Linked DNA regions of Diceros bicornis minor. The protein of the gene in region 3 binds, or shares a complex with, the protein of the main gene of each other region. Links are inferred from orthologs where the notes say so. Each region holds a gene or a part of one and is shown on either strand. Other genes may lie near its edges. The genes, in order: TAF1B, POLR1E and POLR1H.

What was found.
Region 1: POLR1H (region 3) and TAF1B share a complex: the UniProt entries of both Homo sapiens proteins name them as parts of the pol I pre-initiation complex. The link is inferred for Diceros bicornis minor from reciprocal best matches to the Homo sapiens genes POLR1H and TAF1B.
Region 2: POLR1H (region 3) and POLR1E share a complex: the UniProt entries of both Homo sapiens proteins name them as parts of the RNA polymerase I (Pol I) complex. The link is inferred for Diceros bicornis minor from reciprocal best matches to the Homo sapiens genes POLR1H and POLR1E.

The regions. Positions count from the first base shown.
Region 1 is NC_080751.1:70,279,969-70,283,713, forward strand, and holds the start of TAF1B (TATA box-binding protein-associated factor RNA polymerase I subunit B), read right to left. Parts: upstream 2,276-3,745; 5' UTR 2,211-2,275; coding exon 2,193-2,210; intron 1,052-2,192; coding exon 953-1,051; intron 1-952. UniProt on the Homo sapiens protein: Component of RNA polymerase I core factor complex that acts as a GTF2B/TFIIB-like factor and plays a key role in multiple steps during transcription initiation such as pre-initiation complex (PIC) assembly and postpolymerase recruitment events in polymerase I (Pol I) transcription.
Region 2 is NC_080767.1:6,484,631-6,488,375, reverse strand, and holds the start of POLR1E (DNA-directed RNA polymerase I subunit RPA49), read left to right. Parts: upstream 1-873; 5' UTR 874-946; coding exon 947-1,022; intron 1,023-1,604; coding exon 1,605-1,708; intron 1,709-3,383; coding exon 3,384-3,460; intron 3,461-3,745. UniProt on the Homo sapiens protein: Component of RNA polymerase I (Pol I), a DNA-dependent RNA polymerase which synthesizes ribosomal RNA precursors using the four ribonucleoside triphosphates as substrates.
Region 3 is NC_080753.1:35,907,320-35,911,064, forward strand, and holds the start of POLR1H (DNA-directed RNA polymerase I subunit RPA12), read right to left. Parts: upstream 2,180-3,745; 5' UTR 2,150-2,179; coding exon 1,906-2,149; intron 1,661-1,905; coding exon 1,560-1,660; intron 1,352-1,559; coding exon 1,242-1,351; intron 1-1,241. UniProt on the Homo sapiens protein: Core component of RNA polymerase I (Pol I), a DNA-dependent RNA polymerase which synthesizes ribosomal RNA precursors using the four ribonucleoside triphosphates as substrates. Can mediate Pol I proofreading of the nascent RNA transcript.

The DNA.
Region 1 (3,745 bases), on a different chromosome or scaffold from region 3:
AACACTGGAATCAGAAGACTCAGGTTCAAGCCCCGGCTCAACACTTTACACTTGTGTGACTTTGGCAAGCTCACTGAACTCATGAGGCCTGCCTGCCCCATCTATGGATAGGCATAATAGTATATCTAAGGGGCCGGCCCAGCGGCTTGGCGGTTGGGTGCACACGCTCTGCCACTGGCAGCCCGGGTTTGGATCCTGGGCGCGCACCGACACACCGCTTGCCTGGCCATGCTGAGGCGGCGTCCCACGTGCAGCAACTGGAAGGATGTGCAACTATGACATGTGGCTCTCTACTGGGGCTTTGGGGAGAAAAAAAGGGGAAAAGGGAAAAAAAAAGGAGGAGGATTCGAAGTAGATGTTGGCTCAGGGCCAGTCTTCCTCAGCAAGGAGAGGAAAATTAGCATGGATGTGAGCTCAGGGCTGAGCTTCCTCAAAAAAAAAAAAAAATAGTATATCTCACAGGTTGTTAAGAGGAGGAAACAAAATAATGGCCAAGAAAACACTCTGTAATCTGTGAGGTGCTGTACAAATGTAAAACGATAATGAAACGTATTTTCAATACTCCCAATAATCTTCAGTCTTTCTAACATTCCATTTTCCAAACCTTTAAGCTACCACAACACACTAAAAATTCTTAATAAGTATTAACTAATAAAAAGAAATAAATCATCTTCTAAGTATAATTTTAATTATTTCACCTTGGACTATACAGTCTGAATCAGGAAATCATTTAAATATGTGGCCCAACATACTTTCGAAAATTCATCCTAAATCTAACCTACAAATTCCCTAACTCTTGTGTAAGCACTTGGAAGATGGCTTACGTTCTTGGAATTTGGGCATTGCATAAGTGATAAAAACAGATCAATTCTTTGGGAATTATGGCACATATTGGGCTGAAATAGCAATTTTTAAAACATAAGCAAATTCATAAATGAGATCTGTTACTCACTTCTGTAACATTGTGGCAAGAAGTGCAATAGTATTTGCCTTCATCAGTAAGACCCCAGGAGACAGCAGCACACTGAGCGCAGCGCTCTTTGAACTCTTTCTACAGGAGAAAAGGAAAACCACATTCAATACATCGCACCTAAACCCTGCAATGCTACTCATAGGGTTCCCCGCAATTTTACTCTATAAATAAAAAATCATAGGAAATAGAAAATGTATCAGAGACATTATCAACAAACAAGGAGAACAGCAGTTCAGTCTTTGAGCAGTTTGAAACCAAATTAAACTGTTAAAGAAATGTTTCTAAAACATGCAGTGTGTGAGGGAAAAAAAGAAGAAACGGTGGTGGGGGTAAAATGGAAAAAAAGATGAGTAAATAAAACTCCTTGAAAATGCCGTGAGGGAAAAAGACGACAAGATTTACGTATAGAGAAGATTTAAAAAACAGAAATAGCCTACCATTCGGAACTTCCTCCAGGACACTAAAGACACACACTCACCACAAAAGACCCAGATTTTTATCAGGGTTGTTTCGAGTTTCGATTTATTCATTCAGCAGCGTAAGGAGCATCAGCTTCGCAGGTACCAGGCACTTAACAGGGGCTGGGGGAGTAAGCCCTTCTGCACACACACAGCCTGGCACTAAATTACTGACTCCTAGCTCTTTGGTGTTTGACATCATCATTGATCTAATCACCGAACACTCCTTTAACACCCCAGAGTGAGGCATCTTATGCAGCACGGCAAAAATGAATGTCAAATTTACTCCGACAAGTTGGTCAAGTTTTCATCAACCTGTTGTGACAGCCATCATTACCTCGGCGTGCCCCCAGACCCCACTGGGCATCCTTGCGCCAGCCCGCGGCGAGGACTCGCAGGGACCGGCGGGGGCGCTCGGGGGCAGGCCGGCCCCAGCCCCAGCGCTCCCTCGCCCACCCAGCATCCAAGGGAACCCCGGGGTCCCGTCGAGAGAGGATGAGCCGTGTGGGTGGCCACCCCACGGAGCCCTCCTCCTCCGGAAACACACCTGCACGCTCCCCTCACCCACACCCGCCCCCGCCGCACACTCCAGCCTGGGTCCCAAACCCGCGCGCACACGCGCGCGCCAGCGCCCTCCCTTTCCCCGCCCCGCCCCCTCGGGACCGCGGCCCCCACAGCCAGCCGGCGTCCTCCGCCCGCTGCTCCTCGGCCTCACTTCCCCCCGCCCCGCTGTCGGCCCGCCCGGCGCGCTGCCCCCTCACCGCCTCCTCCAGGTCCATAACGGCGCCGCCGCCCGGGCCCGTTACCCGGCACGAGCCCAGCTTCCGGGAGCGCCGGGAGGAGCCCTCCGGACGGAAACGGAGACCCTGACTTTGGATTCCGGGCGCCTGCGGCCCCGGGAAAGCCTCTGCTGGCTCCGGGGGCAAAGCTCCGCAAATTCTGCATCCCCCTCCCAGACTGCATCCCTTTCTAGTCGAGGTTACTAAAACCAGCCAGTGAGAAACTGGGCGGTGCCTAAGGCTGAGCTGATTCAATCACGCCCCTCTGACGGCGTTCATTCCGAGACTCCCTTGCTCTGTTAGGCTGCAGGGAGGCGGCGTGGAGGGCTCGGGCTCTCCCCTTCCCGCGGGCTTCTGATAGCCCCGGGGAGGCGCGCGGTGCTGGAGGGGAGAACACAGGTTGCTGAGTTAAACCTGGGTGTCCTCTCACGGCTCTTCTGCTTCCTTGTGCCTCAGGTGCCTCCTCTGTGACAATCAGATATTACCTGTGAGTCCCTTATCGTTGAGCCTCACGTAGTAAGTGCTCACTCATTTTAGCCTTTATTATTGTTCCTTCATTGGGCACATTCATTCCTTGATTTATTCATTAAACGGGCGCTGTTTTAGGTCCTGGGGATTCAGCAGTGAACAGAGTCAACAAGAGTCCCAGCCTTCATGGAGAGTATATTCTGGTGGGGAGAGACAAAAATAAATAAGGAAAATATATGTATGATAAACGGGCATGAGGGCCAAGGAGAAAAGCAGGAAAGGACAATGGGAGCTAACGGTGGTTTCCATTTTAAATGGGGTGGTCAAGAAAGGTCTCACTGACAAACTGACCTTTGAGGCAAAGGAGCAAGAGCCATGTTGGGAACATCATTCCAGGTGGAGGGAACAGTAAGTTCCAAGGCCCTAGTCCTGAACCTTATGCCATGTTATTTAAGGATCAGCAAGGAGGTCAGTGAGGGGCTGGAACATGAGCTAAAGGGAGAGTAGAAAATGAGGTCGGGGCAAAATATGGTTGTAAGGACTTTACTAACTTGGAGAAATGGGGGAAGACATTGGAGGAGTTACGTCATCTGACTTTTGTTTGACAGATCAGTCTGGCTGTTGTGGGGAGAATAGAATGATAGTGGTCCAAGGTAGAAGTTGGGAGATGAATCAGAAGACTATTACAATAATCTAGACAAGCTATAATGGTAGCTTGAACCAGGTAAAAGCAGTGGAGACAGTGAGAAGTACATGGTTCCTGGAAATACAGATTTTGGAGGTAGAGCCAAAAGGATGTCTTCATGGACAAGAAGTGGGCTGTAAGAGAAAGAAAGGAGTCGAGGATGACTTCAAGATTTTTGCCTGAGCAACTGGAAGGGTGGAGCTATCATTGACCTAATAAGGGCAGACTGTGGGTGGAACAGTTTGGCAGTGGGGTAGAGGGAGAATCAGGAGTTTGATTTTGGACATGTTAAGGTAGAGATGCTTCTAAGACAGCCAGGTAGAATAAGAAGGCATTTGGATATAGGAGTCTAGAGTTCAGAGGCAAATTCTGAACTAGAGAT
Region 2 (3,745 bases), on a different chromosome or scaffold from region 3:
CTTGTTAGGGCTGTTGGGAGCATCCTGGGTGCGTCTCTGTATGGGGAGAGGAGATGAGTCTTGAAAGAAGGCCATTTGGACAACAGAGGCGAGTCAACCCGAGTTCTTGCCCTTCAACAGTACCCTCCGTTGACAAGGCAAAAGGGGCTCCGGCCTGGGTCCATGCTTAAACGCCCTGCTTTGGCCCTCTTGCTCTGGTAACCCCCATGCGGAGGGAGGGTTGAATTCGCAGGGACGGAGAGACATGCCCATCAGATCTGTGTCCTGCTTTCTGGTCCACCCAAGAATCCCCTGCCAAAAAGCTCATGAGCCTGCTGAGCCTCTCCCCCTGGTCCATCCTCGCAGGGTTGATTGGGCCACCCGTGTATGCACGTCTAGGACCGAGGAGTGAGCACGCAGGGCTGCGGAGGAAGCTTGGACTTAAGGACTGGATGCCCACGTGTGTGAACGGAGGCCCTAGAGATGGCCAGCCGCTCAAGTAGTTCCTGTCAGAGAGTTCTAAATTTGAACTTGGCCTTTCAGGTCTTAGTAAGATATATTTGCCAGCGTAGGAAAGATAGACCACACTCTAGACCGTGCTGTGCAGGAAGCAGCCTCAATGACGGTTAGGTCCGAACTGCAGGACTTCTGGGCCCCTGGGAACCTAGTCCCACACAACTTAACGCGCAGGCGGAGTGCTGGGCCAATCAGCTGCTGCGCCTCGGAGAGGCCGATCGGGGTTGTGGGGGACCGGGCACCGCGTGGACACACACCAATCCTCTCCAGGCGGAGGGGCGGGGCGAAGAATGGGCGGGGGGGCGCGCCTCAGAGCTCAGAGGAAGTGCGCGGGGGGCGGAGCCTGGCGAGGCCACGCCTCTTCCGGCCCGCCGCGCTGCCTCCGTGTGAGGGAAAACGCGCGCTGGCCTGCGGCCGTGGTGCCTCCCGGACTTGGCGGCGGGCAGGCGAGATGGCGGTGGAGGTGTTGCCGAGTGCGAAGTGGCTGTACTGTGGGGAGCCCGACGAGAGCCAGAGAGCTGTACTGGGTAAGGACCGCGGAGCTGGAGCAGTACCCAGTAATTCCCTCCCCGCCGTCTTGATACCTCCTTAGTCCTCCCGCCCCCCGTTGGGCCCCTTTCTCGGCCAGGCCAAGACCCCTCCTAGTGTCCTCCACGACTTGGGGCTCGGCCAGGGCTCCTCTATCATCCCACCGTCTTTCTGTCACCACCTCCCAGCAGGATAAAGACATCTCAGTCTCCCCCTCCCCAGGGATGTAGCCAGGATCCTGAATCCCCTCACACCCGCCAGGTCTCACGCCTTCTGCGTTTCCTTCTCTCCACAGGGCAGGGATTCCCTCTGTCTCTCTAGGTCTGCACGAGGCCTCAGTCAGCCCCATTCCCCTGGTTGTTCCTGCCTGTCTCAGCCCCTGGCCAGGATGCCCCTCGCTTCCCTGTTCCCTCATCCCAAGTGGACCAGGACCTCCTTCATCCCCCGTTAGGTCAGGCCCTGGGCTTCCTTGCCATCATCATTCCTCTCCAGTCACTCCCTCCCAACGAGAGTCCAGTTCCTCCCACCATACACTCTGGGTCCTTCTGCTCCCCTCTCATTCTTGGGCTGCAATCTTACAGTCCAGTTCTCCAATGGGAAGCTGCAGAATCCAGGCAACATGCGCTTTACCTTGTACAAGAGCAACGACTCCACAAACCCCAGGAAGAGGAGTCAGCGGATCCTGGTGAGTGCTGCAGTGGCCGGATGCCTCTGCTCCGCAGGCCTCAGGAGGCCCCTTGGGTGTGGGTGGATGTGGGAGGGAGTGAGAGGAGAGAAGGGGGCTAGCAAATGAGCCCTTGAAGAACTCTGCTGAAACCCCGGCAGGTTGGGGTGTGGGGACAGGCTGCGTTTAGTTTTGTACTTTTGGTCAAGTGATGGCTTTCCTTTCGTTCTTTTGTTCATGCAGCGAGCGTTTGTTGAGCTCCGGCTGTGCTCTGTGCTGGAAGCTGCTAGGGAAACAGCTCAGTCAGCCCTGGCCCCACTCTGAGGCGCTTGTACTCCAGAGCAGGGTTTCTCAACCTCGCCACTGTTGGCGTTTTGACCCAGAGGATTCTCTGTTGTGGGGGCAGTTCTGGGCATCACGGGATGTTTAGCAGCTTTCTTGGCCTCTGCCCACTAGGTACCAGTAGCACCTAGTTGTGACAACCAGAATGTCAGACATTTCCAGATGTCCCCAGCAGGGGAATTTCTTTGGGTTAAAAAACCACTGCTTTAGAGAGGTGAGAAGTGGATGCGAGGGACACTCATACAAGTAGACAAAGCTCAGGGCCTGAGAGAGGGAGAGTACAGGGCAGGGTGAGCAGAGAAGTCTCTGCTTGCCAGAATGCCTTCCTGGGGGAGGGTGCATTAGAGCTGAGCCCTGAAGGATGGAGGACGGTTTGATAGCTGAGGTTTAGTATTCCAGGTGAGGAGGATAGCAAGGACAGACATAGGGAAGCAAGAAAGCTTGGCTCTAATTGAGGAGTGAAGCAGCCCTTCCATCGTCCTGAGAGCATATAAGGAGCAGTCACGGGAGAGGTGGGCAAAGGGGTTCAAGAAGGGCTTGGAGAGGCCCGGCCCCACGGCTGACTGGTTAAAGTTCTGTGTGCTCTGCTTTGGCGGCCTGGGTTTGTGGTTTCGGATCCTGGGCGTGGACGTACTCCACTCACCAGCCATGCTGTGGCGGTGTCCCATGTACAGAATAGAGGAAGATTGGCGCAGATGTTAGCTCAGGGCGAATCTTCCTCCGGGAAAAAAAAAGAAAAGAAGGGCTTGGACTTTGGGCCCAGGAGGTTGCCTGCAGAATCATTTTGTTGCATACCTGTAAGTTCTGGGAGCCCAGGGCCTTGCTCCCAAGTCCTGTGGTGCAGCTCCCCCAAGAACTTTTCAAACTAGCTAGAAGCCAGCACTATCTGGAGCTTGCTTTTCAAAAGTCCTCTTGCCTTTCCCCCAGGGACACCCCAGATTCACTTAGAGATAGTGGGGCTGAGTTGTCTCCCAGAGGCTATTTAGTTCTAATCCACTGTGGTTTGAATCCTAAAGCTTTTGCGTATGTGGAAAAGGGAGACAAGATGCTTAATGCCTTTTTTTTTCTTTTGTGAGGAAGATTAGCTCTGAGCTAACAGGCTGTCGCCAATCCTCCTCTTTTTGCTGAGGAAGATTGGCCCTGGGCTAACATTTGTGTCCATCTTCCTCTACTTTATATAGGACACCGCCACAGCATGGCTTGACCAGCGGTGCGTCATGCGCGCCAGGGATCCGAACCTGCGAACCGTGGGCCAAAGGGGAATGCGTGCACTTAACCGCTGCACCACCGGGCCGGCCACCTTAATGCCTTTTAACATTGGTTGTAATGGACCTTTTCCCCCTCTGCATTTTAGGCAGCTGAAACAGACAGACTTTCCTATGTGGGAAACAATTTTGGGACTGGAGCCCTCAAATGCAACACTCTGTGCAGGTAGGGACAGGGAGAAAAGACAATGGGAAGGGGAGGGTAGTGGTGGTGGCCCTGGCATTGCTGTTCTGTCTTTATTTAAGGGCAGTGGGGGACATCTAGAGAGGTTTACCAAGTCCGCCTGTTCCCAGACCCAGGGCCCCTCACACCAGCATGTAGACATTCCTGAAAAGGAAGAATGACTTACATTTGTTGAATTTCCTAAAAACTGCATTCATTTGTAATGTTCTCTCTCTCTCTCTCTCTTTTTTTTTTTTTTGGTGAGGAAGATTAGCCCTAAGCTAACAT
Region 3 (3,745 bases):
AATCTGACTACCTCACAAGGTAGAGGGAGAAAAAATCTTCTCTGAGAATTTCTAACCATAAGCTGGCCCTTATATGGATTTGCAGCCCGAATTTATACTACCTATGTGCTCCAAAAAACCTGAAGCCAAGAATTTATTTAAAGTAATTCCGGCTCGGTAGTGCCTCAAGGCACCTGAACAGGAAACATAGATGCTGAGGATACAGCATTCACCCCAGGCCTCAAAGAATTCCCATACTTCAGACTCTAAAAAATCCAAGCTTATAGTCAAAAATCACAAAACAAAGAAAAAAAGCACCATGAGAGAGTCAGCAAAAATAACAGACAGCAGTATCAGACTCACAAAAATGATGGGTATCAGAATTATCAGACACAGTATAAATCATCATGTTTAATATATTTAAAAGTAACATTTTAAGACTAAAAGGAGCAATTTAAAATATGATTAAGGAATTGGGAATTATAATGACTGAGGAAATTTGAAAAAATAATCAAGTAGAACTCAAAAGAAAACTTTTTCTAAAGTAACAATAATTGAAATAAACTGAAGACAGAGTTAGTGACCTGGAAGAGAGACCTGAAGAATTTACCCAGAGGCAGCATAAAGAGAAAAAGAGATGAAAAATATGAAAGACAGGGTGAGAGAAATGGAGGGTGAAAGAGAAGGTTTATTAAACAACTAATTAATTAGAGCTCCAGAAAAAGCAATATTCAATGAGATAATGGCTGATAATTTTCCAAGGTTGATGAAAAAAAAGTCAATCCTGAGTTTTAGAAAGTCCAACAAATCCCAAACAGGATAAATAAAAGAAAGCCACATCTTGATATATTGTAGTGAAACTGCAGAACACCAAAGACCAAGAGGAGTTCTCAAAACCATTAAGAGAGCCCATGTTTTTTAAATTAGGCACGATTAATTCTCACCAAAATAAAACTACCTTGAGTGCAGCAGAAGATTCCAGCATAACATCCTGACCACTAAGCAATACTTGCCTTCTGTATTTTTCCATTTCCTTTAAAATATCTTAAAAGGTTTAGTTCACTGGCTATAAAAAGGATAAGAAAAGTGTAATTTTTAAAAATAAAAAACGACCACAAATCTCCCTACTATCTGAACTGTACAGAAATGAGGGATGGGACCAAAGGAAACAATTGCTTCTTTGGTACAAAAAGTAAATCACTGGATTTGTTTAGTTAGCAAACAGACTGAGACAGGGCAGAGGGAAGGGAAAGGATACGCACTTGCAGTTGGTACAGGTGTAGAAGACAGTCTGCCCTTCATCAGCTGAGCGCATCTGTCTGGTGTGGTATGCCATTCCCTCGTGACCACATCGAGAGCAGCGCCTGTCAACCTGGGAAGCAACTAGTGGATTAGGGAGGCCTAGTCGTATCCCCCCTACTTCTCATAGGAATCAGGCTATCACACTCCTCAGACACTGCTGCTCTAAAGCTCCCTCTTCCCTCTTAGAATTGGCTACAAAACTCCACAGGTCTCAGCAATCATCCTCCATTTCTTTCCCAACGCTCCTTGGGGGGCCATGCTTGATGTAACTAACTTACCACGGGTCCCTGGAACTCAGGTCCTTCCTCCATCGACATAGGCATGGCTGTCCCCAGTTTGTGGAACACAAATGAGGTCTTCACAACTTTCCCTTCGAAGTCTGCACAGGCAGTAAGAATCGGTTGCGGAAACAAGCGGAGGGAGCTGACACCCGCAACTCCCTCTTGATTAGGCCAGGAGGTCCTACATCCTTCCCTTCAGGTTTAGTCCCAAGACCAAAAGTGTGAGCGCCTGATCTCCTGCTTTAGGGTTCCCCTCTCCGATCCCACCGATCCTGAGGTCCCCAAGCCTCCGACCCTTCCATGCCGGGCCCTCCGCCGGGGCAGCTGCGTACAAGCCCCTCACCTCGCACGTTGATGGAGAAGCCACAGCGAGTACAAGTGACCGTATCCTGAGCCCCGGGCAGAGGCAGGACCGAGCCGCAATCCGGACAGAAATCCAGGTCCGACTGAAAGCTGGAGGAGGTGCCGGCGAGGTCCATGACGGACAGGCTGTCGAGGGCTGAGAAGGGAATAAGAAGTTGATTAACAAGCGAGTAGCTCCCTCCCCACTCAGGGGTCATTTCTATTCTGTCCCTGGAGCTAAGCATACATAACCGGAGCCCTCCTCCCACGCATGCCTCGTATGCCCAAGGGTCCCGTATTCCCAGCCTGCGTCGAGTACCCCCTGACTCAGTGGCTTTCCTCGGGCAGGCGAGAGGAGCTAGCCAACTCCGCGGGCTAGAGCGCCGGCCCTGCGCGGGCAATGGGGAAGCGAGCGCGCGGCGGGCTAGAGCGTCCACGCGTTGCGGCTCACGATTGGCTGTGACGTCATAATTAATCGCAAACGTGACCCTGACAGTCCTCGAGAGGCAGAGGAACGTCTCTGAAGGTGCAGGCCGGGCCTCTCTTCAGCCTGGTTCTGTATGGTCGGATAAGAAAACGGGTAATCGATGCTGGGCCTCCGGCTACTTTTCCCCTCAAGACCCAATCCTGGGATATTTATTTTTCTTGGTCTTGCACCTCACAGGGACCTAGGCGCGGAGGGCCGTCCCCCTGAAAATCGTACTAACCTTACCGAATACTAATTTCTTTTGACTAGAGAACTGCAGCTCCTGCGGTTCCTGAGCCGATAGTTCCCCTTTTGCGGATGCGCAGTGGTTAAAAACAAAGCTAAACTTTCTGAGTTACACTTGTAGCGCTCTGCAGAGCCCAGCCTGGCTCACGTGCCTTGGAGGTTGTTTCCTGCTCTTGGAAGGAGTGAGTCGGCTTAACGGGCAAAAAGTGGTGAAGGAGGAGGAGGCATGCTTACTCCCTGGGAAGAAGGGAAACAGGGATGAAGTGGGACACTGGGGGCTCAGGACTTTGGAGGTGGAAGAACAGAAGAGGTTGGGACTCCCTCCTCCTTAGACGGATGCCAGATGAGGGAGGCTAGTCAAGGGGAGCAGCCTTGGGTAGGATTTCACTAAAACTTAGGTCGAGGTTGGCTTTCATTTGCGCACCCACCTCCACCTCGTTCCCCGCCTCCCGTCCAACCAACTCTTAAATCATCATCGTCATCCGTTAGGTGGACAGTTGACATTTCCTTAATCTTTTATAAAACATGCGAACAAGTATCTTTAGAAAATCTTGCTATTTTAATTCATGTGTACCCTACAATCTAAAGTAAAAACTTGTTATCCTCCAGGGACAGCTTTTAGATGAGTTTCCTAGTTGCTTCCTAACATTTGCACCCCTACCCAGTTAGATAGCTGTACTAAGTTCCTTACATATAAAAGTTCTGGAGCCATACTATTTTCTCCTCTGAAAGAGACAAGCTGTGGTCTCTCCTTGAGAGAGACTCCGGTCTGCCTGTCTCAACAATAATGGAAAGACACACAATAGTGAAGGGGTTAAAACTGAGCAAGTTACAGGAGAGTGACAAGCCCCATAATTTCACTTAGCTGGTTTTTATTTTGTCTGTCTTACCAAAGGAGGTCTGTTGCTGAGCCCATGATTCCTTTATCAGGGAATATATAATATATTCCATTAGGGTTTTATACCCATAAGTCTGTTCTGTAGAGTCTGGCATATATTAGACTTAATAAATATTTGTTGAAAGAAAGGAGGACATTTGTTAACTGCTGGAAACAGAGCTGTGTCCCAGACAGCTAGGCCCAAAATACAAAAACAGCTGATAATATACCACTATACCTTCTTACATTCGG